Saccharomyces cerevisiae S288C: one gene and its partners. Changing the gene in region 2 together with the main gene of any one other region gives a genetic interaction. Each region holds a gene or a part of one and is shown on either strand. Other genes may lie near its edges. The genes, in order: NOP9, NBP1 and PAU9.

Evidence for each region.
Region 1: mutations in NBP1 (region 2) and NOP9 together harm fitness more than expected from each alone (negative genetic interaction), as found in Saccharomyces cerevisiae (one large-scale study listed by BioGRID).
Region 3: mutations in NBP1 (region 2) and PAU9 together harm fitness more than expected from each alone (negative genetic interaction), as found in Saccharomyces cerevisiae (one large-scale study listed by BioGRID).

The regions. Positions count from the first base shown.
Region 1 is NC_001142.9:413,927-425,309, forward strand, and holds NOP9 (RNA-binding RNA processing protein NOP9), read right to left. Parts: upstream 5,637-11,383; coding exon 3,636-5,636; downstream 1-3,635. Other genes in the region: DNA-directed RNA polymerase III subunit RPC17, read right to left, coding at 359-844; chaperonin-containing T-complex subunit CCT8, read right to left, coding at 6,031-7,737; YJL007C (uncharacterized protein), read right to left, coding at 8,772-9,086; CTK2 (Ctk2p), read right to left, coding at 9,212-10,183; CYR1 (adenylate cyclase), read left to right, coding at 11,231-11,383. UniProt on the Saccharomyces cerevisiae protein: RNA-binding nucleolar protein required for pre-rRNA processing. Component of the 90S pre-ribosome involved in production of 18S rRNA and assembly of small ribosomal subunit. Component of the pre-40S ribosome required for release from the nucleolus.
Region 2 is NC_001144.5:1,054,012-1,065,102, forward strand, and holds NBP1 (Nbp1p), read right to left. Parts: upstream 2,761-11,091; coding exon 1,801-2,760; downstream 1-1,800. Other genes in the region: PDP3 (Pdp3p), read left to right, coding at 1-532; YLR456W (pyridoxal 5'-phosphate synthase), read left to right, coding at 1,059-1,673; GPI-anchor transamidase subunit GAB1, read left to right, coding at 3,323-4,507; YLR460C (uncharacterized protein), read right to left, coding at 5,746-6,876; seripauperin PAU4, read left to right, coding at 8,908-9,270.
Region 3 is NC_001134.8:2,315-12,715, forward strand, and holds PAU9 (seripauperin PAU9), read right to left. Parts: upstream 5,420-10,401; coding exon 5,291-5,419; downstream 1-5,290. Other genes in the region: YBL113C (uncharacterized protein), read right to left, coding at 1-344; YBL112C (uncharacterized protein), read right to left, coding at 268-585; YBL111C (uncharacterized protein), read right to left, coding at 593-1,802, 1,902-2,695; MIX23 (Mix23p), read right to left, coding at 7,647-8,237; putative Rab GTPase-binding protein SRO77, read right to left, coding at 8,533-10,401.

The DNA of each region.
Region 1 (11,383 bases), on a different chromosome or scaffold from region 2:
ATGAAGGGATTACTGTAACGCCCTCAACTAGTATACCCTTTTAAGCCTCGACAAAAATACAGAATAAACAAAAGTTAAATCTCACCGAAGTTGCTTGTGGTACTGGCTTTACAGACGTTTATAACGCAGCACTAAATTTCCAAATAATAACCTTCCTCCAATGGAAATAAAAAAAATCGAGACTAACCCAAAGTGTGCGCAATAAACTCTAAAAAATAAAGTATATTCTTGTAAATATTTCTATATGCTTAAGTTCAATAATACATGCATACTCATTGAACATGTTATATTGTTACACAACAAAGTAATTTCTGTTTTTCGGAAGTGCCAGTCCAAATCAATTCAAAGCACTGTACACTCATGCGTAGCCAGAGATGATCTCTAGCATTTCCTCAATTGTTTTTTCGTCAAATCTTGCATCACACTCCTCCACTATGGAGTAAAGGTGGACCATATTGGCAGGAAGTTGATTGACAATCTGCAGTTTTTCAGCCTTGAATAATTTAAAAGAATTCAGTTTAGTCATCAACTCAGCAAAGCTTTCATCGCTCATTTTGCTTATACCCGATTTTTCAGCATCTTTTGCACCACTGCTTTCTCGTTCCTCGCCTTCATCTTCCTGGTTGATAAAGTTTTTGTTTATACTGAGATAGTTAACCACATTGCGAGTAATACCTTGCAATTCAGGATGATTGTAGGGCCTATTCTGCTTACCTTTCGAGCGACTTTTCTTCAGCGCAGCCAAACTTTTTTGGTCCCAAAGATGTTTTTTTTCTAGATCTGTTAGGAACTTCAAGACTTCATAGTCACTTAAAAATGCATTCCTTTCCTCAAGAACTTTCATAACGTTTAAAGTTTTTTGTTTAAGTGTCGATTTTTTCAGTGGTGGGTGTTGGATTCACTCAACTTCTCTTCTACTGTGGCTGTTATTTGCTTAACTTTCATAGATCGATGGCATTGAAAAAAATAATTTTTCAGGCAATTTTCCTTTTTTTACTTGGTATAATTTTCAGGAATTGAAGGATTTTTCAACGAATTAGCCTTGTTGGCGCAATCGGTAGCGCGTATGACTCTTAATCATAAGGTTAGGGGTTCGAGCCCCCTACAGGGCTAATATTTTTTTCTTGCCCACTTATTCAAGGAATAAGTGCTAATTATCTTTCAACCTTGCAGCGAAGCTTTCTTTTGTATTTCATCTCATAGAAGGTGAAATATCACACTATTTTGTAAATAGAAATAGTATATGTAGTTCGTGGAGAACCAGACTGCAGACTATCAATAAAAGGTTACATTCTGTTCAACTCATGTGACCAGAAGTTTGATTAAGCAAAATTGTTCTTCTCCTTAACATATGATATTATCTGAAGGAATCTAGAAAAGCTTGATCATTCCGCAGAATAACCTATCAAAATGATTGGGAGGACCATTTTATAATTCATGCTACATATATAACATTATACAGTAAACCCTTTTAATGTAATGGATTGCTCATAGTTGTGTACACGAACTGTTTGCTAATAAGCTTGTTTTAGCTTCTATTGCTAAAGAAATTACTGACGAAGAGTTTATGACAAGGAAAGATGAACGAAAGTACAATTTACCGGTTAGTGTCAGCGCCAAAGGATCCACGCACTAGCAAAATAATGAAAATTGTGCCGGATATTCAAGACTAAGAGATGTACAAGTTGAAATATAAGTAACCCTCGGCATAAACTACTCTGTCGTAAGATCATTAACATGTCGATTTGCCTGTGACATTTAACGATTCACAAATAGCGGAATTAAATGATACTTTATCTATCCTAAAACGCACGAAGCATACTTTAGAATGCATGCTCTTAGTAAGTATGCATTGCCGACTTCTCTGTAAGACTTTTATCTCGTTTCAGACCTAATCTGCAACAAGAGAAAGGGAAGAGGACGGTATTGTTACGACGTTATTGGCGGCTAGGAAAGAGAGAATCACCATGAACGATATGGTGCAAAAAAAATAAAAAAATAAATTGAAACGGACAGGAATTGAACCTGCAACCCTTCGATTGCAATCTTATTCCGTGGAATTTCCAAGATTTAATTGGAGTCGAAAGCTCTACCATTGAGCCACCGCTTCAACTTTTGTTGAAAATTTAGGCTAACATTTTCTAATAGGTGACATTACAAAATCCAGTCTTACAGTTATGCTTAATATTGACCAGTAGTCATATTACTGGCATATTATCTGTTAGAATAGTGACATACTATTCTTTATTACTGATGAATTTGTAATTGTGAAGCAATTAGACGCAAACGTCATTGATGTGTCAGGATGGAGAACGATATAGACTATGTGATAATGTAAAGTTAAATATCTGTTACTTGAACAATTAACTTGACGTTTGTATATGTAAGGATATGGGTCATTACATAGAAACTATAGTAAATAGTCTCAGTATTGTTATATTTGTCATGTTTGATATGACTAATCGGCGCATGTTTTACACCTCTTTTGTATAGTATAAGAAGATCTGCTTTTATTCTTGAACCCTACCACTATCTCGCCAAGTTTTTAAAAGATCCACTGCGATCATTGAAGATTCTATTTCAAATAAAAATCAACTATTACCTATCATCTAGCATTCATATTACTTGTATATTATCATATCTGTAAGAAGATGACATGAATGATGAGAAATAGTCATCAGACTTAATAAAAGCCGAAATTCAAGGTCGATAATGTAATAGGATAGGGTGTTGAATGACAATGTATAAAAGGAACGAAGACAGAGTAATACTATTATGTAAGAAATACCGATTCCCTTGTGAGTATATAAACATAACCATTTCATTAAAATAATTTATTCAATGGTATGTATGATATTATAATAACATACTTATACTTGTCTCACTCTGTTCATAAACGCAACAATACAATTACTTTTGAATATTATCTTTAATAAATACACTTAGTAGTTACCAATAAATAATAAAATCCTTTACTAATACTAATATAAGGATTTCTATGTTCTCGAGGAGAACTCGTAGTATGTTCTGTATCCCTAATATTGTAGCCCTTAACAACAATGGAATACGAACAATTTTCTTAATATTCGGCTATTTCTGAAATATACATATTCACGGGATACTAGGAGGTCAGCATGTTACAAATTTCATGATAGTGCATCAAGAGACCCTAAAATTAATATCCTTTATGTGCGTATTGCTTTCATGGTAGTAAATTATCACTGTTTTCATCTAGACGTGGGACGGTAACATTTTCGATAAATATCAAAAGATGGCAGTCATTGTATAGAATACCACAATTTGTGAGCATCTCTGAGGTTTTTTACAAGCTTCCGTAACTCATACAGACTTCTATCGTCCTACTCTAGTATTATTTACCTATTCATAACCACTTTTTTATCCTTCTATTTAAATTTATAGATGCAAAGGGCGGAAAGAATTGACTGGAAAGTAAACTAAATATAAAAAATATCGCCAACTTATTCATACAATATCGTAGCAACTGACAACTTTTAAAAATCTGCAAAATTCTTTGTAGTGTTCCTTAATAATGTTTAAGCTAAGGTTTTTTATTAAGAGGAAAATATTGCATAATTCTATAATTTACATCAGTACAGTAGTAACATATTATCCAATTATCTATAGTGCTTTTGCTTTTTGAAGGCGCTTCCTTCCTTCGAATTATTTCTTTCTCTTGAGTGCTTTTCTGGCTTTGGCTGTAGCGGTTTAGAATTTGGAAATATTTCAAATTCTTGCTCCTTAATTAGTTTTTTCCAATCCCACATTTTTCTAACATATAATTCCAGTTTCCAATTCTTCCACACTTGCCTGCCATAAATACTATTCTTCACCTTCTCAGTTTCTAAAACTAATGCTCTAGCAATACGCTCCTTATATAATGTTAATTTTGCCGTAAATTCCCACAATTTGTCCATTATATGAGAGCCATATACATTGCATGCCAAATTTACAGACTCTTTAGACAGTATGTTCAATAGCATTTTTCTCTTAATTATGTCCACCCTAGTAGTTTGTAGTACGTGCTCAACAACATGCGAAAATACTCCATGGTAACACATTTGTATCAACCTTTCCTCAGGCAGAGCCAACATGCTGTCAATGGTAATATTCAAAAACTTGTCGTCGTAGTCAATTAATTGTTCCAAGAAAACTGATCGTCTTCTTTCTTCTGCTGTTGGCCAGTCATCTCTGGTATTGCCCAAAGTCGATGCACTCAACAACAGGCAACTTTCCAAAATATTCTTTGCATCAGACTTTTCTGGATAATATTTTTGTATTAATTGAGCAATGACATCATCCCTTAAGTAACCACCTTGTTTATTGCTTGCGTTGATAATAGCAGTACCAAAATCCATATTTGAGTTTAAAAGCATGCTTAATTCAGGAACTACTGCATCCAATATCTGTTTTACGTCCTTCTCCTTCAAATGTTCCAGCAATGCACGCACTACAAAGGCACCTGTAGTATCCCTTTTTGCTAGTTTCACAATACGGTCTTTCATATATAAACGATAAAGTCTTTCAACATATTTTAGCCTGGCAGAGCCAATCACATTTTCTAAGAAATGAGAACCGACAGGATCTGACAGTAAATATTCCAGGAATGATTCCTCCTTAGGATCCTTCTCATCTGCTGTATTGAAGACCAATCTCCAAAATGAACGGTCCCTGTCAAAAATACCTTCGACTTGAATAATGAGCTGAATTACAGGGGAAGCCACTTTATCCACACTGTACTCTCTAAATTTGGTGATAGTAGATTGCGAAATATCAGAACGCGACTCGGCACCATTAGTAAATCCTTTGTATAAAGTAGTTATTATGTCACGAAGTTCAGATTTGAAAGATTCCGGTGTTTGGTAAACTTTATTGAAATCGTCATTATCTTTAATGTCAATCATTTTTCTTGCAATTTTTGACTTTTTGGAACGTAAAGTAGAGTTCGCTTTAGTTGAATTAGGCAATGTCTTGGAAGACAAAATTAATATTAGCAATCTCAAAACATGTGATGCATACTGATGGTTCATCATAGTTTTCAAGTGCGGTTTCAGTTCATTCAACATAAAGAGAAACATATTTTCCATAGTCACATAAGGCCCTTCTTTTTCATTGTTATCAAAACTTGGTGTTAAAAGTTCTCTTTCTACCAAGGCGGCACTTCTAACAAATAAAGTCTCTAAAACATGGGAAGCATATTTATGACATGACAACCCGAAGAAAACGCCATTGAAAGATTGGAAAATGTCTTTTAACTGAGTCTCATCACATTCAAGAATAACTCGTTCCATCAATTTCGAAGTTATTTGGGAAGTAACCAATTTCAGTTCTTTACCTTTTGCTTCCTCAATAATGCTCGTGACGAATTGAAACTTTTCCTCAGGTGCTTCGAAGGCGTCTAATTGCAAAGTCGATTCGGCTTGCTTGAAATACTCCAGTTCTTCTCTATCTAGCACACCAAAAAACATTTGTGGCTGAGTCTCTTTAATTTCGGCTTCGTCATTGTAAGTAGACTCTTCTTGCTGGATGTGCTCCTTCGCAGAATTTGAACTGGGTTCAAATTCGTCCTTTCTCTGTTTGTCTTGGTGTCTTCTGCCTCTTGTTTTAGTCTTTCCCATAATAACAATAATGTGGTTTTTCCGTGAAGGTTTCAGCGTCGTTCACAGTATACTAGTTGTAACAGATCGCAGCTCATCTAATATAATTTTCTTCATTATATTGTAGATGAGCATGAAAATTCTCGCTAACCGAAAAAAAATTGAAAAAAAAAAAAGTATTACAATCATCGAACAAATATACAGGCCAAGAGTTCGTCGGTTTTGCAGGTTGCTTCTTGGTTAATGTATACAGTACATCTGCATTATCAAAAATTCAAACATTATATATATCTTTACTACTATACAGGTACACATGATACAGCCTAGCAAGTTTGAAAACTTGATTGCAATTTATGACATTATATTCTGCTGTTTGCAGGTATATCTACTTTGTAAGTATAAAGATGCAAACAAATCAGTCTTCTTGGTCCCAGTTACCTGGCCTTGGGCCTTGAGGTGCTCTTGGACCACCCGCCTTCTTTGCCATGATAATTTGGTCAATGGAAAGCACAGTAGTTGCAGCTTCTGTAGCGACGTTAATAGCAAACTTTTTCGTTGCAAGCATGTCATAAATATTTTCCTCTCTGATGTCCTTTACACCTTCATCAGATTCGCCATCAATATCCACACCTTTATATAAATGATCTGTCTTAACTGCACCAGGTTCAGTTACGTTATGTGCAGCGTATAAGTTTGGTAGTACCTCATTAACATCAAGACCAGCGGTCTCCGCTAGGGTACGAGGAACCACTTCAAAAGCCACGGCAAACTGTTTTATAGCTAACTGTAGCAATCCAGGTGTTCGTTCACCATACTTAGTTATCCTAGAAATCAATTCAATTTCGGTAGCACCAGCACCAGGCAACAACTTACCGCCTGATGGCTTCATTAGTCCCTTGACGGCTGCAACACCATCATCAATGGCTCTTTCAATATCATCCAAATTATTCTGTGTGGCACCTCTTAAAATGATAGTAGATGTTCTTGAAATTTCACCTTGCTCTTGTTTGAACACAGTTACTCTATCACCACCTATCTCCATTGTCTTAACAGTTTCCACTAAACCTAATTCTTCTGGAGTTGGCGCACCTAATCTAGGCAATGGAGTGGCCCCACAAACGCGACATAATCTTCTTAATTCGAATTTGCTTGGTACCTTCAAGACTAGTATACCGTATCTATTCAAATAATGTAACGCCAATTCACCAACACCAGCACCTGCAACAATGCATTCTACGCCCATGTCGGCAATCTCTTTCATCATGGCATCTATTTGCTTTTCCTCGCCCTTAGAAAAATCGAGCATTTCTTGTGCATTATGTAATAAAACAGTGCCTTTCGTTTCAGTATTGGCTATGTCAAGCGGACAAGTGAAAACTGCAACTTTATGCTTTTTATCTTCGGATAATGATTTTACATGGCCTTCAGGCTCACGATTGAAAACCATACCTTTGATGACGGTAGAATTGGAAAGCGATCCACCCATAATCTTTACTACTCTGATAGAATCAACATTAAAATAAGGAATTTCTCCAGCTTGCTGAGCAACTGGTAAAACGTGAGATACAGCTTCAGAAACAAGTTCACTCAATATGTCTTCAGATCCGTACTTTTTGGAGGAGATGACTGGTTTAATCATTTTCAAAAGTTCGTTTTTATCATTCTTGTCAGTAATTTCACCAACAACCATTTCGTCTAGTTCTTTCAAAGTAAACTTCCTTGCCATATTATAACCTTGAATAATCTCAACGGCAGACAAGCCCATTGAAATCAGTTTTTCGGACACATTTAATAGTTCGCCAGCCAAAATCATGACTAAATTTGTACCGTCTCCCATGTCGATCTTCTGTTGTTCAGTCGCCATTACGAGGACTTTCACTGCAGGATGGACAATATCTAGTTCTCTTAGCATGGTGGCCGCGTCGTTGGTAATAATGATTTTACCGAGATGGTTAACAATGATCTTGTTTCTACCACAGGGTCCCATAGAAGTCAAACACATTTGATGTAATTCGCGAATGGCCGCAATTGATTTAATAATTTGGCCATCGGCGTTAGAGTAACTATTGTAGCCTTGTTTAAACAATCCCGCGTTGGGATTTTGTGGCAATCTAAGTGACATGGTTAATTGATGATTTTATTGCCCTTGAGGTTCAAGTTGTCTTGTCGGTATCTGTAAAGTGAGAACATCATCATGCTATACTATTTTCTTCACTTTTTTTTGCCACTAGCGGAGGTGATGAACATTTTCGAATACCGTTAATAATGACAAAAACACCATTAACTTGGCTTATATAAAATAAGCTATTGAAATAGTAAATGTGCTCGCAACTCTTTAATTATCTAAATCCGGCAGCTTCTTTATTGATTAATAATACAAAATGTTCGGACAAGTGATCATTAGATATCAACATGAATTCAATTGGTAACAATTTCGATGCTTACATTTTATGCTAGTATACACCACGCATATGTCTGTCAATGTACCTATTACAGAAGGAAATGTTCAAGAAGCAGTTCAGACAGTACCGAAGCAGAATTAAAAATCCATTATTTGAATATGATCTGATAGTCATATATATGAGCAATACAGGTCTTCACATTAAATGTATGAGAACTGCCGGAACCACTATTACATTGGTCACAATTAGGAATGAACCAATCGGCGTGTGTTTTATATCCCCCTTATATAAGTCTAAGAAGATCGATATTCAATCTTCATTAATAAAGCTTTTTGACCTCTACCTATGAGCAATAAACCATATCCATCAATAGTGGTCAAGCCGTAAGAATGTTTTTACCGAGAATAGAAGTAAACTTTTCTTATTGTATATAAGAAAAGCATATAAACACGCGCCCAGAGAACATATTCAGTATGCCCTAGCTTGGAAACACATCAGTAAAATACTACGCGCCTAGTATAATGACTTCTATATCCAAAATTTTTAAGTTAACCTTTCAAGTAAAAGATCTTTGCCTTATACTACTGTCTGAACAACTCGTATAAATTAATGTATGATATGAACATTCCCATTGTTACGATAGATGTCCTAATGAGGATCAACTATAATCTATCGAATAGTATTCATATTACTAATATATTATCATGTACGATGTACCAAGATGGCATGAAGATTGAGAAAACAGTCATCAGATTTAATAGATGCTGAAATGCCAGGACTGATAGTGTAACAGAATAATGAATGATATCATATAAATTGGGGAAACAATAATGACAATATTATGTGAAAATATCAATTCTCTTTTGTGGATTACAAGATCCCCTGGAGAACTTCTAGTATGTCCTGTATACCCGGTGCTATATCCTTTAATAACCATGGAATCCGCAAATATTTGATGTAAAGTTTGTTTTTCTTCCCCAACATCCTTTGTATGCTTCAGTAGCTCAGTAGGAAGAGCGTCAGTCTCATAATCTGAAGGTCGAGAGTTCGAACCTCCCCTGGAGCACATTTTCTTTTTTTGTGAATTAAACCTCGAAGCTCAACATTCATGTTTTGAGATAAAAAAAGGTACTTATTACTTGTGTAAAAGAAAGTTTATAATGATGATCTTATTTAAGTTTATAGTAGGACTTTCTATGCATGTCTTGTAGAACTATTTATGCTGGACTCGCCATTAATTAGCTCCAGTGAAAGTACATATCTTCTTTCTTGGACATTATTATCTCTAGTAATAGTGATATAAGGATCGGCATTCAACAGGTGATCTGGTATTTGCGGCAATCCAGATTCTGGTCCTGCGTTTTTTTTCAGTTCCATAAACCTTTCAACGCCAATCGGCAGCAAATCAGCCGGTAAATGACGTTGTAGATCGCACATATCGAATGAATTGATGTAAAAATTGACTATATCAAAATAAGCTTCATTTACGGATTTCTCGTCTGTTTCAAATAAAGAATACCTTTTACTTGACCAATTCTTATTATCTAGTAATTCATATGCTATTTTCAAAATGGCCAATGCAATGGAATGTTGGGGTATGACTAAAATAGTTTCTAGCTTCAAAGCATCATAAGCAATTACCCAAGCCAGATTGCACAACTTATAATCAAAGGATAGCTCCCTACCAATTTTTATAACATATTCATCAATATGAACGTAATTGTTGACTCTATAATCGAATGAGCATGACTCTAATATCCGAAGTTCTATTTGAAATACCCTTTTTTTAAAATTTTCCAAAATGTCCGTATTGATTTTAACCACATTCCTCAATCGTAATGACAAAGTACATATATCATTTGTTTTTTTAATTGTCTCAACTTCTTTACAGCCCAAAGTCAGGCAGCTTGTCGCTACAGTGTAGCAAACCTCGGTCTCGAAGCGATTAAAGAGGTGGTATCTTTGGTAAAAGTATACTGCTGTTTCTAAAGTCTTCCGTGGAAATTTCAGCTGAACACACAAGTCACTTAGAAATTTGAACACGGCAAGTTTTTTCTGGTTGTAATTTCGATAGTCCGATATTGTATTCTTTTGGGCTCTTTGAATTTGCCTTTTAGACAGAAACGGTCTCGAAAAAAAAAGCTGGGATTCAAACGTGCTAGGCATATCAAAGTACGTAATTTTCTTAGTTTTGCTGGCTCTATATCTCCTCTCGCTCTATAGATACAGATATATATATATATATATATATATCTATGTGTATAAAGACGGCTTTCAGGACAGTACTTGTTTGGATTTTTGATCATCGCGGATTTTCGCAATGCAAGTATAAAGAGAGCATTACCCGCCACACAGTGATTCTTCAGCAAGTTGTACCGAAAAGGACCATTTAGGTACGTGGGATCGCAAAGGTTCCCAAACGGTGTGCATCAAGCCGTAGACTTCATGAGTGCTTTCGGTGCAGCAAAAAGATAAGGACAAAAAATACTGAAGGATGCGAGGTTCGAACTCGCGCGGACAACCGTCCAACAGATCTTAAGTCTGCCGCCTTAGACCACTCGGCCAACCCTCCATCTTATTTAAAAATCCTAGGAAATAGATGTTATATAAGTCATACATCATTGAAAACATCAAATACCGTTCCCTGCGTTGTTCTACAGAAAAGCGCATTAGAGTAGGTCATACCCTTTAAAAAATGATTTTGTAAATGCCAGAAAGTAAACAAATATGCATTTCGCCTAGCTCCCAATGTAAATAGCCATAAAAAAGGATAAAATGCCAGATTTAGAGTCAGTTCTCGTTCTTCTTCTTCTCTGTGTTCAATTGTTCAATTGCATTGTTAATCACTGAAATTCTATGTTTCAAATTGGAATGGCAGACTGAACTGAGACCTTCCTTACTTTCTCCTCTATCAAACCTAAATATTCAATCATAACCTTATTTTTTCACTTCCTTTTTCTTACTTTTTTTTTTTTTTTTTTTTTGTATTTTGGAAGGAAAGCAGGGGGGACTTACCATAAGAAAAGCGACTCTAAAAAAGTGTATTTTCTTCCAAAGTTCAGTAAAGACAGCTGGGAAGTATAGTAACAGAGGAGAGAAAGCATAAGGAGACCTCTTGCTGCAGTTCACAACCAAAAATAGCATATCTTTACTATTGTCGCTAACCATTGCGAAACGAGCTAAAGCAACAGCAAACGAAATCCCTAGGTCGAAATGTCATCAAAACCTGATACTGGTTCGGAAATTTCTGGCCCTCAGCGACAGGAAGAACAAGAACAACAGATAGAGCAGAGCTCACCTACGGAAGCAAACGATAGAAGCATTCATGATGAGGTACCAAAAGTCAAGAAGCGTCACGAACAAAAT
Region 2 (11,091 bases):
TGCCGGAGAAGATCCCTTTGTAGGTCGAACAAAAGTAGTGAATAAAAGAAAAAAAAATTCAATATCCATCAAAGAAGATCCGGAAGATAACCAGAAATCAAATGAAGAAGAAAGCAAACCGAACATCAAACCGTCCAAAAAAAAGAGACCCACAGCTAATTCGGGAGGAAAATCAAACAGTGGCAATAAAAAGAAAGTTAAATTAGACTATTCCAGAAGAGTAGAAATTTCACAGTTATTTCGCCGCAGGATTCAAAGAAATCTAATCCAGAGAGAAACACCTCCTACTGAGCATGAGATCAAGGAAACTCATGAACTATTAAATAGAATATATGAGAATTCTGACACCAAACGGCCCTTTTTTGATTTGAAGGCCCTACGCGAAAGCAAATTACACAAGCTACTGAAAGCAATTGTTAATGATCCTGACTTAGGCGAATTTCACCCACTTTGTAAAGAAATTTTACTGTCCTGGGCAGACCTAATCACAGAACTGAAGAAAGAAAAGTTGCAAGCGCTACCTACGCCTTGATAATAATACTTATTGAATCAATTCAATATATCAACGTTTCAATATCCAATATTGTTTCATTTCATTTCATTTCAAATAAACAGTGTTTTACCGTTTGTTTTGTTTCCCTTCTTTTTTTCATCAAATGGTAATATTAAATTGATTTAATTATCCATCCATAAAAATTGTATTAATAAGTCATACACGTAATGTCACAACAAAATATCAGGCGTACTCTTGTGACGTACCAAAGCGCTTAGAAACGATAAAGGCCCGGGACAGAAATTTAAACGTCACAAGTGGGTGCAGCCCAGTTAACACTAATGTTAACGCACTTCTAGATACCTCATATATATAAATATTATCTAGAATTTCAAATTTGATATTCCTTTTCTATACTGAATAAACGATAAATACGAAGTTCAGAGTGCGAAAATTAGGGTTGCAGGCGTCTGATCTGAAAAACGTATAATTGATAGTGAAAATTATGCAACATTCTGCAAAGGAAAGTAAACCTTAAAAAAACAAATCTCTCAAGCCTTTAAAGATGAAACTCAATGAACAAATACCAAAAGACCTGTTACGCCTGATTAAAAGTTCCAAGTATGTTCATGTGGCGACATGCTCGTCAAATTGTATACCATCTGTTTCGTTGATGCATTACATATTTGTTTCATCCGCGGAAACTTTCCATAAACATGAGTATAGTATAGAAATAGATTGTAATGACTATATTATATTCACAGTGTTCGAGAAATCAGTAACCTTTCGTAATGTCATGAGCAACCCAAACGTTGCATTGCTATTTCACGATTGGATCACAGCTAAAAATTTAACTCTTCGAAAAAAAAGCGTCCATAGTAAAGATGATTTTTCATTTGTTGAGTCAGAGTCTACAAAATTTAACAACTTTTTACGAGATTTGAACCAAAGTGAATTGAATCAAGTGAGCGCTACTATCAATGGTATTGCTGATATTGTGAACCCTAATAGTGAAGAATCTACTTATTATAGGCGGTTGTTATTAACAGTCAATCCAGACGCAGATATTTTTATACTAGGAGAAGATACAGCCATAATAAAGGTAAATATACAAAAAATAAAAGTCTCTGACATGGAAAATAATACTTCTACATACGGCCAAACAGTACAACCAGTTTAACGGAAATATGATGAAAACTATGTGTACTCTAATTATTATATAAAGCATCTATAAAATGAATCATGAGGATTAGGCCGTGATCTTCGCGCTCCATATATGGAGAATACTTTTAATTTCACAGGAGAAATTAAGATAAATAACTTGAAAAGTCCACTGAGATTGGTGAAAGTGTTTCATCCTCTTTTTCAGTTTCCCTTGAACGATAGGGTGGAGTGGGACAGGCGGGAGATATGTTTTCCTGTAACGGCTGCATCTCTGGTATATTTCCATCCCGATTATATGTTTTCATGGGGCTGGAAGTGAATAATGAATTCGTTCTTCTTATTGGAGACGGGGAAAGATCAATTTTCAAGGGCTTAATCTCATCGTTTTCTCTAGCTAGATTAGACATGGTTCTCCTAGATTTGGTGTATGATGGATGAATGTTTGAAGAATCTAGTAAATCCTCCAAAATCCTGTACTTCTCATTTGAGTAATTCAATGCTTCTTGTAATGATTGTAGCTTGCTTTCCAAGGCTTTTATTTTCTCATCTCTTTTCTTAATTTGCCGCTGTAGAAGAATTTCTCTATCTAAGTATAATGATTGATTTCTATCTTTTCCACTCGACCCGTCAGAACTACCACTTCTTAGTTCACTGATCCGTTGCTTATTGTATTTCAACTCCGATATCTTTCTCTTAAAGGCATCACTCCTTAGGATCCTAGATTTGGCTGTATCTGTGTCCATATAAGAAGGTCTTCCCTGGGATCTCTTCTTCAAAATTCTAGTCATGTCGCCACAAACATTTTGCATCTTGCTCATATTTTCATTATCATTGGAAAAAACATCTCTGATTGTCTGGAATATCTTTGTTAACCTTCGTTTGGGTGTTTTCCTCCTGTTAGTACGAATTTTTTCTTCAGTTTTCCTATCTGTCACCTTTCTAGGTCTTTTTAGAACGCTTTTACCCGTAGGACGCATCTGCTTTCTTCTGCTCCTTAAGGCAGATCGTTTTCTCACTTCATCAAGGGACCCGTATTCTCGTTTCCTGCCATCATCTCGTATTCCAAAAAAATCTTTCCACAGTCCCTGTACGGATTTTAGCATATTACCAATGTCTATTATTGTACCTTTCTCTTCAGAGTATCTACTTGTTCATGTTCAGCAATAATTTCATAATTGTTGATGCGCGCATCGTTTCTATACTATGACGCGTCACGAATTGTGCTAGAGTGGCCTCTAATGAAAGTATAAGAGGCGTTGGCGAAGGTCAAGGATAGACCATTGGCTGTTTCGGATGAGTTATTTTTAAAGTGTAAAGGTATAACATCAAATGAATGAAAATTAACATTGATCTCAGCTCTCAATTTCTTTCCTCATTTGTTTTCGATGTTTCTATATGAGTATACATTAAACAAGTAAATCTCAAGCTCTTGTCAAAACAGTTATTTCCAACATATCTATCTGCATTATTGGTAGCATAATTCTCAAAGGAAGCTAAAACATCCTTCTTAAAGACGTCTATTGGCAAACGATATGTTACGTATTCCGGGTAAAACAAATATTCCATTAAGTGAAATGACCTTTGTTTTCAAAACTAACCAGTTTTAGAACAGTAATTCATATAAACAACGTGATCTTATATGAAAAACTCACCAAAAGGAGACCAATGGATTCCACAGCACTTAAGGTAGCTCTAGGCTGTATTGCAATTCGTTTGGCTGTGAACAGCCTTTTTCCCTCTCTACAACAACAACTGGACCAGTCTGTAGAATTCTCAACTCCCGTAACTTCATTTAGGTCACTACAGGAAGGTATATACCTACTGCGGAACAACATCCAAGTATATAATCATGGGGTTGTTCACCATCCTCCAATTTTGATTTTTTTTCTTTCCCTCTTTAATTCCGACAGGTTAATTTCCCTCATATACGCTTTAATTGATGGATTAATTGCGTATCAGCTGACAGAGGTAACAAAGGCTTTCAAAAACTTGAAACTGAAAGTTTGGCTACCTGGACTTCTTTATGCCGTGAATCCTTTGACCCTTTTATCGTGCATTAGTCGGTCATCAATCATATTCACAAATTTTGCTATTTCATCGTCATTGTATTGCATATTAGCTGAAGGAAACGTTCTTTTGTCCTCTGTTATGATTTCTATATCTGGATATTTGTCAGTATACCCTATTCTCCTCTTAATTCCGCTATTAGGTATGCTGAAAAGTTGGAGGCAAAGAATATTATCTGCCATTGTTTCCATACTATCTTTATTAATTCTGCTATTATTCAGCTACAGTATATTAGGCAGCCAAAGTTGGTCATTTTTGACACAGGTTTATGGATCTATTATAACCTTTGAGAAGGTTTTTCCAAATCTGGGTTTGTGGTGGTACTTCTTCATTGAAATGTTTGACACCTTCATACCGTTCTTCAAGGCTGTATTCAACATTTTTATTGCAGTATTCATTACACCATTTACTTTGCGCTATCATAAGCAGCCATTCTACGCATTCATTTTATGCATTGGGTGGATTGTCCTTACAAAGCCATATCCCTCACTAGGTGACGCTGGTTTTTTCTTCAGCTTCCTACCTTTCTTCACGCCACTATTTGGATATTTAAGATACCCCATCATATCAGCATTACTGTTTTTACACGCAATTGTTTTGGCGCCAATTTTCTATCATCTTTGGGTTGTTTTAGGTTCAGGGAATAGTAATTTTTTCTATGCTATTTCCCTAGTTTATGCTCTGGCTATAGCATCTATATTAGTTGACTTGAACTGGGCGATGCTGAGAATTGAATACGATAACGGTATCCCAAATTTCAAATTGAAGGTAACACAAATTTAACTACTTCCCGTCTATAAACGTACATAAACTAGAATAAAAAGAACCATACAGATGTTCATCGTAAGAGTGGATAAAGCGAATATGAGAGCCATATTGGTTATTCCAGAGGCTATCTATTTTTTAAGAGAAACTGCTTGGTTAAAATTTGCATAATATTGTCTCGGAGAGAAAAGATAGAACTCAGAAGGACCTAATTAATCATGAGCGTTATAATACGAAGAATTGAGATAGAGTGTATGATCTGCGGATTAAGCTCCTACATAATAACAACATTGTACTTGGGACTATGCCAATTTCTTTCCCACCAAAAGTCGTATGAAAAAGGTTATCTTCGCTAGGGCTTCCATTAGGTGAAAGCCAATATATTATCATAGAATAGCACGGCATAAATATATATTTTGTGCTGTCTTTTTGGGAAGGGTAGTTTGACAACCCATGTACATTAACATAAAAAGAGCTTTATCATTAACGGACGAAGAAAGAATGTGTATCGCGTATTTTTAGACTATCGATAATCTTTTTTAAAGTTATGGTAGATAGAAGATGGAATCAGTTACGAAGTGATGAGTTCCCATACATTCCAGCCTGTTTACATTAGCTAATTTAAAAAAAAAAAACATAATTAGAATATTACGTGATGACTCAGTTTAAACGGTACTCTGTAACACATCATTTCTATTTGTTGTTCTAAAACAGGTTCTACATATTTGGATCTGCTGTGAGAATGACCTAAAAGGTAAAACTCTCTTTGTAATAATCCAAGGAAAGTGGGAGTTCCTTGGGGAAGCTCTATTGCAATATATTGTAGTTTCCATTCAGCCTGCTTATCGCCTTAGGAAAAAGGAATGTAAGAGGCAGAAAAGTGCGGCGCAATCGTTCGGACAGCGAGCCGCCATTATAGGTAAGAATACTTAAAGAGCTTCGCCGGATATTATTACAGTGTATTAAATTTCGCCAAGTCTTTGCCAATGGAAATGGGTGCATAAATTTATGTGCTTGGTACATATGAGTTCAATAGATATGTAGTAGTTGGATAGTAGATAGTTAGGATATATAATCATGGAAGGGTTACTCACAACGAATCACATAATGAGTTATGATTTTCACTGTGCTCATCTGTTGCCCCTACAAGGGGTGATCAATAACAAACAATTTCATTAAAAAAAAAAAAAAAACTAAGTCACTATAACTAAACGTAATAACTATGTATATGAAAGAAAATAATATCTGTTCGTCATCTAGTTTAATACGGCAACGAGTTTTTCACCAGAGTTCTTACCATATTTGATGTCTTTTAGGATATGAGGAACATCACAAAGCCCGTTCTTATAGACCCTTACTGGAATATGGCGAATTTGTCCATCATTAATCTTTGGATTGATGAATTTGATAAATTTTATTGCAGCTTTCCTAGCTTCTGAGTCGGCTGGTAAAGTAATGTTTCCAAATGGTACTTCATGGCCACCTATTGAATATAGCCTTATTATGTCAATAGTAACGTTTTGTCTCCTGTTCTCTTTTTTGACGTTTTCTTCTGTCAAATTTTTTAATTCAACAATTGTAGCATCCTGTTTATCGGCCGCACATTTGTACACTTGTTGAAGCGTATCTTGATTCGCGACACAGTCGACTAAATACGAGATATTGTTGTACTTGTGTTTAATTTGTTCTACCACGTCAATATCATGATAATCAAATAATTCATCAGCACCATATTCTTTCAAAAGTTTTTCGTGCTTCCGAGAAGCCACAACAATGATCTTGGTGAAGCCATTCAATTTATTGGCTAATTGGATGAGCGACTGACCTACTGCAGTTGCACCGCCCCATAATAAGATGGGGCCTTTTCTTTGTGGGGTTGATGGCTCCCACTTCAGGTCCAAGCCCAAGTTATAGGTCAACACCAAGCCGGCTGTGGTCAGTGACACTGGGATAGTGGCTACACCTTCCAAAGACCTGACAGGGCCGGCAGGTAGAACATCCTCACCCAAAAATTTGAGTTCATTGGGTGATTTGTAGGCAACCACAGTTGAAATAGCAGAATATTCAGCAAAAGCACCATTGGAAGGAAACCTTACGGAAGATCCGTGAATGAACCCATAAATATAATCACCGATAGAAAAGTCTTTAGGATTGACAGCTGGGCCCAATTTGACAATTTGGCCAGCAGCATCACATCCCAGAATAGATCCTTGAGGCCCGATCTTGTAGTCAATGTGTGCCCAATCAGTGGGGTTACCAGCAACAGCGAGTGTCTTAATCAATACGAATCCTTCTTCCAATTCAGGAATGGGAATGCCCTCTTTAACAACCGCTTTACCGTCTTCAATGACGACAGCCTTCATGGTTTCTGGAATTGCAACTTGCATGTTTGTAGGTTATCTGTAATTGTCGTTGATAATCTGTATTCAGCTTGCCATTTTATAGAATATGGTTAGAAAGATCTTAAGCTAGATAAAGAAAAAGAAAAAAATAGAAAAAAGCCTGCCCGCTTTATAAGAACTTTTCTCAATATCTGTTGAGGAACACTTAGTAATATCGTCTATCATGGTTGCTTTATTCTTAGTGATATTACTCTCTGGGATTCGATGTGTTCTCATCATCTGAAGGGTTTTCTATGTGTTGAAAGCCTATCCCACTAGACGGAGCCGCGCGTCAGCCGGGCGGATCCGAGACATCTTAGTCAGCTGAGACAAGAAAGGCACAGCTCTCGGACAGGAACTGCTGTCATATGAAAACCTAAAAATGTTTCCTGGAAATTCCATGACTGCGCAAAGTTTGATACGTTTATTGTTCTTCTCCACTACCGCACTTTCTATCTCGGAAACCTTTCAACTAAATGAACTATTGTTAATTGTATGGCGTGTGGCCTTTCTATTTCAGAAAATTTAGAGTAAAGTAAACTCCGTCGGACTAGTATAGTAATGAAACAAGCCATTGACTCTGCAGCATATTGCGACCAAAACCTGGAAATTGGTGGCTATGAGTTTTAATTTATAATTATATGAAAACAAAGCTTGGAATGCTGAGTACTTTTTCTTCAATGCTGCTCACTGCCCAGAAGCGTTCAGAACAACTCTACTGGAGCCATTCTGCTTGAAGGAGGATAAAAATGCCAAGATCAAGTCTTTTAAAGATTCTATCCCTTTTCATCGAAGAAGCACTACAAGTTTATTTTACAGAAGTTGACAAACTGTGGAACTTGATCCATACTGAATAAGTATGGAAAACTGTTAACTTAGAGGATGCTCTGCTTTCTAAAGAAGTTTCACAGCTTTAGACTCACATGGGTTCTCATGAGTATTGCTAGCTAGTGCGAGTTTGATCTATACTTCACAGACTTTTAACACCCCGTTCCTTAAGTTTTCCCTGATTATCAAGGGTATTTCCAATTCTTACTCCCCACTATCGCTCCTTTCTTATCTGAATTGTATTTTTGAGTGGCCTAATTGTAATCTTTTATTTTGTTTTCTAATTATTGAAGGCGGTTTCTCGAAGCATTTCACGATTTCCAAAATTCAAGAATTGAAATTATGAACATAGAAGACAAAATACTTTTTTTATCAACTATTAATACACCTTTCCTAGAGAACATTTTTAAAATAAAATAAAATAAAGTAGCGCTCTCTACTACCCTTACACTTTTCTCCTTCATATCTGGCTAGAAAAGAGGGATTACATCTCGGAATCAAATATTTCCCTCTGTGCAAAGTTTTAATACTGCTACTACGAACTGGTTACAATTTTATTTTTATCATACACGATACTTTGAACATCAACTTCTCTCAATACCATCCGCCTTCAGCGGCTACAATTACGTAATTGCACCAAGGCATTCGCCGAGAGTTCACAAATTGCAGACCCTAACAGTATACGACTCCCAACACACGTTTAATGTTGTACGAATTCAAGAGATAGAAATGCTTCTTCCGCGGAAGCCGTTTAAAGCACTGAAATTAGGCTTAGACAATAGACTTCTGTACGAGGGTCCAAATCTAAAATTCAGATATTCTTTTTGACCGAAAACGGAAATCACAGGCGCGCAAAAGGGTTTTTCAAGGTACCCCGGCATCCCTATAATAGGCATTCCCACATTCTGCGCATACGAATACACATGAGTGCCATAAAACAATACTCCACATACGAAGTCTATGAAAGATGTATGATTCGTTCAGAAACAAGAGCATTTCCATACTGATAATGAGATTGTGTGAAAGATGAGATATGGAGGATATGTGAGGTGCTAAATGAGCGTCTGTTAACGAATCGTTTAAATAGTGATGACTGATGAAGGCATGGGTATAAATAGAGCTGCTTCAACTGTATGCCTTTGAGAATATGTCTTTATTCCTTTCTTTCCTGTTAAGCTTATATCAGCACTAACAAACAAAACAAATACAATGGTCAAATTAACTTCAATCGCCGCTGGTGTCGCTGCCATCGCTGCTACTGCTTCCGCAACCACCACTATAGCTCAATCTGACGAAAGAGTCAACTTGGTTGAATTGGGTGTCTACGTCTCTGATATCAGAGCTCACTTGGCCCAATACTACATGTTCCAAGCCGCCCACCCAACTGAAACCTACCCAGTTGAAGTTGCTGAAGCCGTTTTCAACTACGGTGACTTCACCACCATGTTGACTGGTATTGCCCCAGACCAAGTGACCAGAATGATCACCGGTGTTCCATGGTACTCCAGCAGATTAAAGCCAGCTATCTCCAAGGCTCTATCCAAAGATGGTATCTACACTATCGCAAACTAGGGACGAGTGCCTCTACGAATGAAAATTCATAGACAGTAAAAAGTAATGAAAAATAAAATAAAAACTACTTTTTTTTGATGATATAAATACCGTAGATTATATAAATGTATATTAATATTATAAACCTATTTGATCAATGACAGTGTTCGTGAAGCATTTTATGAATACGATAAACATAAAAAGAAACTTTTACACTATTCTAGAAAAAGGGTGGATGGTAATAAAGCTAATAGAGTATGTCCAATAAACAATAATGAAATTGGAAGCGCATGACTTCTCAGCACTTTGTCTTTCCATAAAAATGAGTCGCTGCTTCTTTTTTCATTTTTTGGCGCGTCGCGTCGGGCCGTATAGAATATGCGTCACTTCTAAGAACAAGATTGCAGATCAGGGCAGTGCGAGTTACGGAGTCATGGTATCAAACTCTCATTTAGAGACCCTCATTTTTTGACACTGAAAATATCAAAATTTCTGGGTTGCGATAGTTTTTGTGTAACCGTAACCAGAAATAAAGCTGAAGGGTTAGTGTTCTATCAACAATAAGATAGAGGGTGGTAAGATGAAGTGAGACAATATCGTAACGTCCGTTTCAGTATACGCCGCTGATAAGTTATATTACCGTAAAATTATTTGACATTTCGTTATAGATCCTATTAAATAACGTACCTATCACAGTATCGTCTTGTTCAGATATAGTCTCTTCGTATGAGTAGTGTCACATACAAGATTAAAGATGCATCAGTTATGCTTTTAGGATATTGCGGATAGCATATGGGAATGGAAATAGGATACAATTTTATCATAGCACCCGCATGAGTGTCAACACAGTACCATATTATAGCACAGTGAATGGAGAGTGTTACGACAGTGAGGTAGCATATTATTCTAATGTATGGTCTGCATAAGTACGAAATATTCTGAAATGGCATCCGTTCAAGCAAACTGCAATATTAAGGAACTTTTACGTTAATGACGTCATGGTAGTGTTCATACTCCAAGTCAATATGTTTTTGTATTATTGTTGAAGAATAGAATATTTTTATGTTTAGGTGATTTTAGTGGTGATTTTTCTGTAATATTGGCATAAGTGTATTTAAATTGAGTGGTTAGTATATGGTGCAAAAGTAATATAACGTATGTATTAAGAGCATTTTTACAATATTCGAGGCCACTGAATGAGATATAGATATTAAAATGTGGATAATCATGGGATTTATGGGTAAATGGCACAGAGTATAGACCGCTGAGGCAAGTGCCGTGCATAATGATGTGAGTGCATTTGGCACTGATTTAGTGAGAGATGGGCCATGGAGTGGAGTGGAATATGAGAGTAGGGTAAGTTGAGATGGTATATACTGTAGTATCCGTGTGCGTATGACATATCAGTATACAAGTGAAGGTGAGTGTGGCAAGTGGTGGTGATGGTATAGAGTGATAGGGTAAGTATATGTGTATTGTTTACGATCATTTGTTAACGTTTCAATATGGTGGGTAGAACAACAGTATGGTGAGTAGTAGATGGGAGATGGTAGAGGAATGGCAGGGTAAGTGGTGGCGGAGTTGGATATGGGTAATTGGAGGGTAACGGTTATGGTGGACGGTGGGTTGGTGGTAGGAAGTAGAGAGGTGGATGGTAGTTGGGAGTGGTATAGTTGAATGAGACAGGGTAACGAGTGGGGAGTAGGGTAATGGAGGGTAAGTTGAGAGACAGGTTGATCAGGGTTAGAGTAGGGTAGTGTTAGGGTTAGGTGTGTGTGTGTGTGTGGGTGTGGTGTGTGGGTGTGTGGGTGTGGTGTGGTGTGTGTGTGTGTGGTGTGTGGG
Region 3 (10,401 bases), on a different chromosome or scaffold from region 2:
TTGATGCTGGCAGTGGTAGTCGCACTAGTCCTGACGTTGATGCTGGCAGTGGTAGTAGCATTAGTGCTGGAGTTGGTAGTCGCATTGGTACTGGCATTAGCACTACCATGAATGCACGTGTCGCTGTCCTCATCACTGCTGCAATACTTTCTGCACCTGTCACTGCTATTGCTCTCCTGGAAGCTAGACGGTAACGCAACGATCGACATGGAAGCTGTCGCCTGATTTTCAGCCAATCTGTCCATTCTTTCTATCAGTTCCACTGTGTCAGCAGACAGGTCTGTCCTGGAGCCACAGCATCCAACATGCTGGCCCTTTTTTTCCTTTCTTTGATTCAAGTCCATAGAACTCGCGTACCTGTTCGGTTATACAGCCTTCCTTAATCGGTGGTAATTCACCCTTACGATTCCTTGCCGCCCAACTGTTTTTTCTAGATAATAGATAACAGAGGCCCCCATCTCTTAGTCTCCCTACGCCTTGAATGAGCTCAATAATATTAAGTCTATTATCAAGCATGATCACCATCATCAATTGCTTAATGTCAATTCCTTCAGTCACTAATTTCGTTCCGATGAGAACTTGCATGCTACCGTCAGTGACAAACTCCTTTGTGCGAGACACCTTTTCTGCAGCACCCAAGCTTCCCGTGTATCCATACCACCCTAAAATACTTTCTCCAAGAGCAGGCCAATTCTTCCACTTCGTTGGTTGTGCTTGCAACTACAATGGCCTTCGACTCTGGTTCAATTTCAAAGAGGGCTAAAAGAAGCTTCAGTGCTTCTTCGGGCTGTGATTCCACTTTCTTCCAAATTTTATGAACATGCCCTAAAGGCACCTCGGATTTCTCCTTGATTAGATTAAACATCCGTGTTGGATAGCTGGATAGACCTCTGCTGAGATCTTCCGACCGTTTGAGCTCGTTGATGTCCATCGACTTCTTGGCCAGTCCCGTAAGCCCAATACGCTGCAACGCAGCATCAGCAACAGCCTCAGGGGCTGTGCCGCTCAAAAAGATTGCTTTCTCAAAAGCGTCAAAATCAAGGTTAGTTATGCCCCCAAATTGCGACTGCCGGTAGACCTCCGTTTCAAAGTTGTGAAACTCATCTACAATGAGGTAACCCAATTTTACGTTGTTGGTCCTAAAGGTGCACTCAACAATATTCTCCCACGCAGCTATCCTGTCTGTGAAATTAGTGCTAGCAAGATCATCGTAGATCCCCACGTATAAATCAGTAACGCCATCGCAACCTTCTTCAATAAAGTTTCTTACAGGGGCCACATTCAAGCAACCGCGTCGGCCCAACCTGATCATGCAATTAGCAAGCAACACTGTGTACGGTACAAACAGAAACGACACATATTTCACGTCGCCCTTAGATGCCAGTGCTATCAAGGGGAGATGAAATAACTCCGTCTTACCATAGCCCGGTGGGGCCTGTACTGCCACAGAGGGTGTGTCTGCCATGTATATTTCATGACATAAGCGCAACTGATGCAAGTCCCTGAATTCAAAGGAGCTGCCAAAGAGTTTCCGGCCTGCGACGAGGATATCGTTTGTACTCTTGGGCTCTCGGGGCCTTTTTCGCGTTACTCTTGAAATTTTTTGATCATGATCTGAACTCGCCGCCTCACCTGCCACTACGTCTTCCGCATTCCGAGTACTAGAGAATGAACAATGGTAGTCGCTTTCAAGGCCTAACCATTGAATCCAGCGCTCGGAAGTGAGTCCGTCAAGCGTCTTTAGTCGAGGCTCCGATGAACCGTTCTTGTTGTATCGTCGACGTATACGTTGCGCTGTAGCTCTGGATAACGGTAAGCGTATCACCGTAAGCTCGTCAATTATTTTTGAGAGCCGCGGTCATTTTGTTAGTATCTCTTCTCAACTTGGGCAGCACACATGCAAAACATCACCCAATCGGTCCTTTTTGTTCATCATATCGTTACATATCTGTGAAAAGTACTTTATCTCAGTGGGTTTACGTGGGCATAGATCACGCTTCAGCCGCTCTGTGTCGACTTTCTTTTCGCCAGGTAAACTTGCTTGGTATGCAGAAAAAATCGATAGCTCATCTACGTGTAGTAACAAGAACATGTAGGGTGCCAAATTGTATCCATATTTCCTTATGGTGCTTTTCTGAAGACTCCTTACAATAGGTGTGCCAGAAACAAAGTCAGTGAAAGTACGCATCGTAGAGCTGTCGTTCGGCCTGGCACTCGCTATTTCGTAACAACGTTCCAGGACACGGAAACTCAACTCATTATAGTATCCTCTGTTGAGGTAAAAAAGAGAAAGGGTATCGTAATCCTTTCTATTGAATTTCAAAGTATGCACTTGAAACAACGTGTAGACCATCAAGTTGATTTTCTTGGGAATAAGATACTTTGAAGGGATTGGTCCGCCCTGGAAATCTGGTTCGTCTTCAACAAACGTCAGGAACTTTTGTACATTTTTCCCGACCATGACGGAAACGACAATTTTTTCAAAAGACCTTTTCCTATCCATTGCACCAGTTCTGAATTTTACCACTTTGATTAGACCAGACTTTTCGTCTTCGTAGAATGACCGCACTTCCGTGGGGATCGATTCAAATAAAGTTATTGAGGGACAATGTACCAAGTCGTTTTTGTTATTTAGAGCCGACTCAAACTCGTCAAAGTTTGCTTTTTCAAACTTACGCCTATCGGAAACTTTCATTTTATTTTTGTAAGTTTCGAAATTAACAATAGTATGTTGATTGCTATGCTTTTTGACAAGAAATCCATCAATATAAACAAAAGATTGTCCAGTTTCCGTCTTATCATCATCTAAGAATGTAATAATTAAGCTACTCTATTGAGAAGAAGCAGAATCTGCGCTATGCAGGTGCAAATCTCCAGCAGCAGCAAAGAAAATTCAGTTAATAAGAAATCTCACTAAGATAAGCGACTGTCTGTCCCCTTCAAGCACAACATAGAAAACAGAAGGATGTCTCATTCATCGCTTGATTTCCGGCCTGCAAAAATAAAGTAGTCGGTACGTACTTTCGTTTTCAATTTCCATGGTGCACAGTATCTTAACTATCTGCTTAGTCGAGGAGAACCAGGATTCTGTTCGTTGCTCAGCCGCTTCGTGGATATTCTCTTGGATACTTTAAACATGGACCTACGTTCCGCTCTCGAAAAGACCAATATAATAAAAAGTTATAAATTACATTTCCTTATTAGGTATACGACCTCGCGCTTCGAAGTAGAGGAGCCCTTTTTGGCGTACCTACATATGGCGCGTCAGACAGACAAACTTCCCCCAAAAATGTATTACCCCGCCGAATAAGAAAACAGACCCATTCACCCACGACGTATCAAGTTACTTCCTTGGTGCAATGTCCCACTATAAAAAAATTCCTTGACGCTAGATCGTTGGACTAAAATCTGCGTCACAATCGCCTAAACAGGAAATATTGCCTATTTTCGTACAAGGTTACTTCCTAGATGCTATATGTCCCTACGGCCTTGTCTAACACCATCCAGCATGCAATACAGTGACATATATATATACCCTAACACTACCCTAACCCTACCCTATTTCAACCCTTCCAACCTGTCTCTCAACTTACCCTCACATTACCCTACCTCTCCACTTGTTACCCTGTCCCATTCAACCATACCACTCCCAACCACCATCCATCCCTCTACTTACTACCACCAATCAACCGTCCACCATAACCGTTACCCTCCAATTAGCCATATTCAACTTCACTACCACTTACCCTGCCATTACTCTACCATCCACCATCTGCTACTCACCATACTGTTGTTCTACCCTCCATATTGAAACGTTAACAAATGATCGTAAATAATACACATATACTTACCCTACCACTTTATACCACCACACATCACATGCCATACTCACCTTCACTTGTATACTGATATGCCATACGCACACGGATGCTACAGTATATACCACTCTCAAACTTACCCTACTCTCACATTCTACTCCACTCCATGACCCATCTCTCACTAAATCAGTACTAAATGCACCCACATCATTATGCACGGCACTTGCCTCAGCGGTCTATACCCTGAGCCATTTACCCATAACTCCCACGATTATCCACATTTTAATATCTATATCTCATTCGGCGGGCCCAAATATTGTATAACTGCTCTTAATACATACGTTATACCACTTTTGCACCATATACTAACCACTCAAATTATATACACTTATGCCAATATAACCAAAAAATTACCACTAAAATCACCTAAACATAAAAATTATTTATCTTTCAACTTTACGAAATAAACACACTCAATTGCGTATCTATACCACCATGACGTCATTAACGTAAAAGTTCCTTAATATTACCATTTGCTTGAACGGATACCATTTCAGAATATTTCTAACTTTCACAGACCATACATTAGAATAATATGCCACCTCACTGTCGTAACACTCTATATTCACCGAGAAACAATACGGTAGTGGCTCAAACTCATGCCGGTGCTATGATACAATTGTATCCTATTTCCATTCTCATATGCTATCCGCAATATCCTAAAAGCATAACTGATGCATCTTTAATCTTGTATGTGACACTACTCATACGAAGAGACTATATCTAAAGAAGACGATACAGTGATATGTACGTTGTTTTTGTAGAATTATAATGAAACGTCAAATAACCCTACTATATTATAACTTATCAGCGCCGTATACTAAAACGGACGTTACGATATTGTCTCACTTCATCTTACCACCCTCTATCTTATTGTTGATAAAACACTAACCCCTCAGCTTTATTTCTAGTTACAGTTACAACAAACTATCCCAAACCATAAATCTTAATATTTTAGGTGTCAAAAAATGAGGATCTCCAAATGAGAGTTTGGTACCATGACTTGTAACTCCACTACCCTGATCTGCAATCTTGTTCTTAGAAGTGACGCATACTCTATATGGCCCGACGCGACGCGCCAAAAAATGAAAAAAGAAGCAGCGACTCATTTTTATGGAAGGACAAAGTGCTGCGAAGTCATACGCTTCCAATTTCATTATTGTTTATTGGACATACTCTGTTAGCTTTATTACCGTCCACGCTTTTTCTACAATAGTGTAAAAGTTTCTTTCTTATGTTCATCGTATTCATAAAATGCTTCACGAACACCGTCATTGATCAAATAGGTTTATAATATTAATATACATTTATATAATCGGCGGTATTTATATCATCAAAAAAAGTAGTTTTTTATTTTATTTTTTCATTACTTTTCACTGTCTATGGATTTTCATTCGTAAAGGCATCACTCCCTAGTTTGCGATAGTGTAGATACCGTCCTTGGATAGAGCACTGGAGATGGCTGGCTTTAATCTGCTGGAGTACCATGGAACACCGGTGATCATTCTGGTCACTTGGTCTGGGGCAATACCAGTCAACATGGTGGTGAAGTCACCGTAGTTGAAAACGGCTTCAGCAACTTCGACTGGGTAGGTTTCAGTTGGGTGGGCGGCTTGGAACATGTAGTATTGGGCCAAGTGAGCTCTGATATCAGAGACGTAGACACCCAATTCCACCAAGTTGACTCTTTCGTCAGATTGAGCTAGAGTGGTGGTTGCAGAAAGCAGTAGCAGCGATGGCAGCGACACCAGCAGCGATTGAAGTTAATTTGACCATTGTATTTGTTTTGTTTGTTAGTGCTGATGTAATCTTAACAAGAAATAGTGAAATGAAAGCGCATACCTCAAAGGCATATAGTTGAAGCAGCTCTATTTATACCCGTTCCTCCATCTGTCATCACTACTTAAACGATTCGTTAACAGACGCTCATTTAGCACCTCACATATTCTCCATATCTCATCTTTCACACAATCTCATTATCTCTATGGAGATGCTCTTGTTTCTGAACGAATCATACATCTTTCATAGGTTTCGTATGTGGAGTATTGTTTTATGGCACTCATGTGTATTCGTATGCGCAGAATGTGGGAATGCCTATTATAGGGGTGCCGGGGGGTGCCTTGAAAAACCCTTTTGCGCGCCTGTTAAGTTTCCGTTTTCAGTCAAAAAGAATATCCGAATTTTAGATTTGGACCCTCGTTCAGAAGCTTACTGTCTAAGCCATCATTTGGTGTGTCCTAAACGGTTTCCATGCAAAGCAACATCTTTGTTACTCATTCCTGAAGGTTGAATAAAAAATAGCAACCATGTGCAGGGAGTCGTATATTGTTAGATTCTAGAGACTTGTACGCATCATCAAAGCTGTAAATAGAATAAACATACGCAAGGCGTCAAAAGTGCATAGTTAAGAAAATTCCTGACATGTGAAAATATGTGTTTATGAAATGTGTCAAGGCCCGTCTATAGCGTAGTTAACCCCTCTGCAGGAGTAAGTGACTTTTTTTACGCTCAAAAGGCAACGAGGGCACATACTTAAAAGTCATTTTCAAACACATCTGCAGTTTGCAACGACAGATAACAATATTATGATAGGATGGTATGATGTTATTAGCTGCCACATATTTTTTAACATAGCATTAGTCACGTCTCTTCAATTGTTGGGATGAAACTCTAAAATATCATTCCTTTAGTAGTATTCCAGTTACCAGTATATTATCACATGCCGAAAAAGAAGATGACATAAAGATCGACAAACAGTCTTCAAATATAATGGAAGCTGGAATGCAAGGATTGATAATGTAACAGGATACTGAATGACAAAGTATAAATGAAAAAAAAAAAAAAAAAAAAGTAGTAATACTATTATGTGGAAATACCGATTCCATTTTGAGGATTCCAATTGTTGGAATAAAAATCAACTATCATCTACTAACTAGTATTTACGTTACTAGTATATTATCATATACGGTGTTAGAAGATGACGCAAATGATGAGAAATAGTCATCTAAATTAGTGGAAGCTGAAACGCAAGGATTGATAATGTAATAGGATCAATGAATATTAACATATAAAACGATGATAATAATATTTATAGAATTGTGTAGAATTGCAGATTCCCTTTTATGGATTCCTAAATCCTGGAGGAGAACTTCTAGTATATCTACATACCTAATATTATAGCCTTAATCACAATGGAATCCCAACAATTACATCAAAATCCACATTCTCTACACCAATACCATCGACGAGAGCTTCTAGTAAATTGTATACATAACAGTATAACCCTTACCAACAATGGAATCTCAAAGATTATTAAATTATTCACAGACTCTGAGGATTCGGGTAAAATAGGGTATTTAACTGGTTACCGGAAAGGTTTAGAAAATTCGTGGAGGGTTGGCCGAGTGGTCTAAGGCGGCAGACTTAAGATCTGTTGGACGGTTGTCCGCGCGAGTTCGAACCTCGCATCCTTCAGTATTTTTTTTGATGATTTAACGTACTATTAACTAGAATAATAGGGAAATGCAATTGCAGTTTGAGAAGAAGAATTATTAATAAGCCAAAAAGCGGCTCACTAAGTAAGTTTTTCTTCATGGCGTCCTTTGCATCCAGCAATAATGGTTTTAGCAAAAAAATCTCTTTCACTACACAAGTTGGAGCATATTTTTTAACAAATACAGATAAACGAAAGGCGATAATAAGTATACTTCCTATGTACAAGAATCTTTAAGTGATATAATCTTTCAGCGGACTAGAAGAATAGGGCGTTCAACTGTTGTCCTTGCAGAATTGCGTAAACTCCTTCAAGTAGTCATTATTTTGCTCGCAGTTTTGCCTTAAAATGCCCTCTGTTGTAGAAGTTAAAATTTGTTCTATTTTTCTATTATTTGCCACCCACTCTGTCACCTTCGTCCAATCCTTATATTGAGCTTCCTGTTTCTCCGCTCTTTCTCTTGCAGCGTAAGGATCAATTCTTGCGTCTATAAGTGGTTCCGCAGTAGTCTTTTTATTATTACCGCACTGCTGATCGGTCTCGTTCTTCATCTCTGCTGCCTCTTTTTCGCAAAATGAAATTATATTATTCCGTATTTGCCAGTTCGGATATAGTTCTTGCTTCAAAAATTCCTTACACTTATTTTTTCCATTAATAGAGCCTTTCCTATAGTTGTTTAATTTTTGTCTTATTATATCATCACTTCCATGCCTTAGAAACCTCAAAAATGAATCTATCAAGCTTGGATCAACACATCTTTCTCGCGTAACTGTGATTGTAGTAAGTGACGGTTCATCATTCGGAAAAGTAAGATTTGTTTCAAGTAAGCTTTGGGGTGCCGTAAACGTACGCCTATTATCAACCATACCGTCTTTTTGTCTACGTGTATAAATGAGAAGTTTTTTTTCTAACTATATCCAAGTTTTTCAAACTACCCAAAGGATATTTAACTTGGCGGACAAAATTACCGTCACGTTCAAAAGTGAATATATAGGCGATTCTGGGTAACAAGCAAAAGTAAACTACAATATGGAATAGTGTAAAACTTCACTTATCAACAACAAAATCGCTTCAAGCCTCCTATCTTAGAGTCTAGAGCCTGATAAAATTCTTATGCGAGCAAGGGCAACCTGATCGAATTTTATAAAAACTATTTATGGACTAAAAACCTACAGCGCTCTTCATCATATCCCTTCCCGTTTCTTCCATTGCGTCATTCATGGTTTGTCCCATTGTGGTTGCATAGTCATTAATAGTGGTTTCTACCGTGTCTAAACGAGTTTCAATTGCCCTAGAAACACTTTTAAGGACACCATATCCATTACTTCTTCCAGAGCTTCTTACAGGTCTGGCATACCTGTGATCTTCCGTACCGGGAGGTAACTTTCTGGCTGCATTACTACTACTGGAAGATATGCATCCTCGAGCAATTGCGCTTTCCTCATACTTCGATTCGGGCCTTTCTATACCGCCCAGTAGCTCATCAAGTTGATATGGTGTGCAATAAATAGTTCCTCTAGCCCATTGTAAGGAATTCACTTGAGGCCTATAACCAATCTTTAAATCAGGATTGTACAAGGTATCAATAGGAGTATGTTGTGATATGTCAGCAGTATGATTCGTTCCGGTGGCACTTTCATTAAGTACTGAAATCAAAGAGGCTTGGAATTTCCCTGTGCGAATGACAATGTCACCATTTTCTAATATAGATGAATTTTCAACGTATTGAGCGCTTAGAGGGACCGGGCAGCGTAGATTTTTGACTTCCTTAAGCTCAGGTACTGTCAAAACTTTAATATCTCCATTAATTAGCAAAACGATCATAATAGTTGAAAGCTTTCTTTCTCCTTTACCGTCAATAATGGGAATAAATGATAATCCACTAGTGGCAATTGGATACTTGAAAAGCGCATGAGTGTCCTTAGATTTACCTGGTGATACTAAACGAATGTCATTTGCGCCACTGATAGTAACAAATCCAGGTATTGCGATACCCTTGCTTAAACCCTGCATCTTTGATATAGTAGCAGAACAACTGTAGCCAGTATCTTTGGCAAAAGAATTTATTCCTAGAATTTTTCCTTGATTGTTGGTCTTTGTTGCATCAGTGAATTTAACCTCAAATCTTCCATTAGTTGCAGGCAGTATTTTGAAAGTCATCAATTCCCCGATATCCGTTCCACATAGCATCAAAATACTAGAGAACCCATCATCTCCATATTCCATGACGCAAAAGTGAACGGTTGAAACGTAAGAGCTACCAGCTTTAGAAATGACCCTAATATTTTCATTGAAGATTATAGCCGGGCCTCTTCTGTCCAATATTATTAAGGTTCCTTCAATGAAACCAACGGCAACGAACCCGATATTACTATTCATGATTGCGGACACCGCACCTTTTTTAGCATGTATTACCGTACTTGGTATAAAGCCTTGTTTAACGTTCGTAGGCCCTCTATCCGAAACATCAACTAAAATAGTTTTTGAATCATCCAATGAAAATCTGCTAAACTTCAATTGCAGTGCATCGCTTTTGGGAAGTTGTCCGTAAAACTTGTTTGTTTCGAATTTGAAAAGAATAACATCCCCAACCTCAGATGATACCGCCAATTCCAATGTTTCCGATGCAAAGGAGATATTTTTTATGGCCAGGTTAGTAGCTCTGTTAAGTACTTTAGCAGTATTCACTTCAAATACAGCGTTGTCAGTTACTTCACTGTGTGAAGCATCCCATATTCTGACTGAACCATTACTATGCCCAGTTAGTAAAGCAGATCTGGTCTCATGCCTTCTAATATTTCTGGTGGCAGGAATACCACCTTTTAAAAACGATTCACTTTGAGCGATTGTCATCATCCCCAGCCAAAGATTTTTTTGAACTGATTGCGCTATACAAGTAGTAACCGTTGGTCGAACCCATGCTAAGCTCCGAGGGAAAATGGAGGCCTTGGAACTAAAAGAGCCTGCTGGGTATATCAATGTTTCAAGTTCGCCATCTTCTAAAAGTAATAAAATGAGGTTTGTGTCATG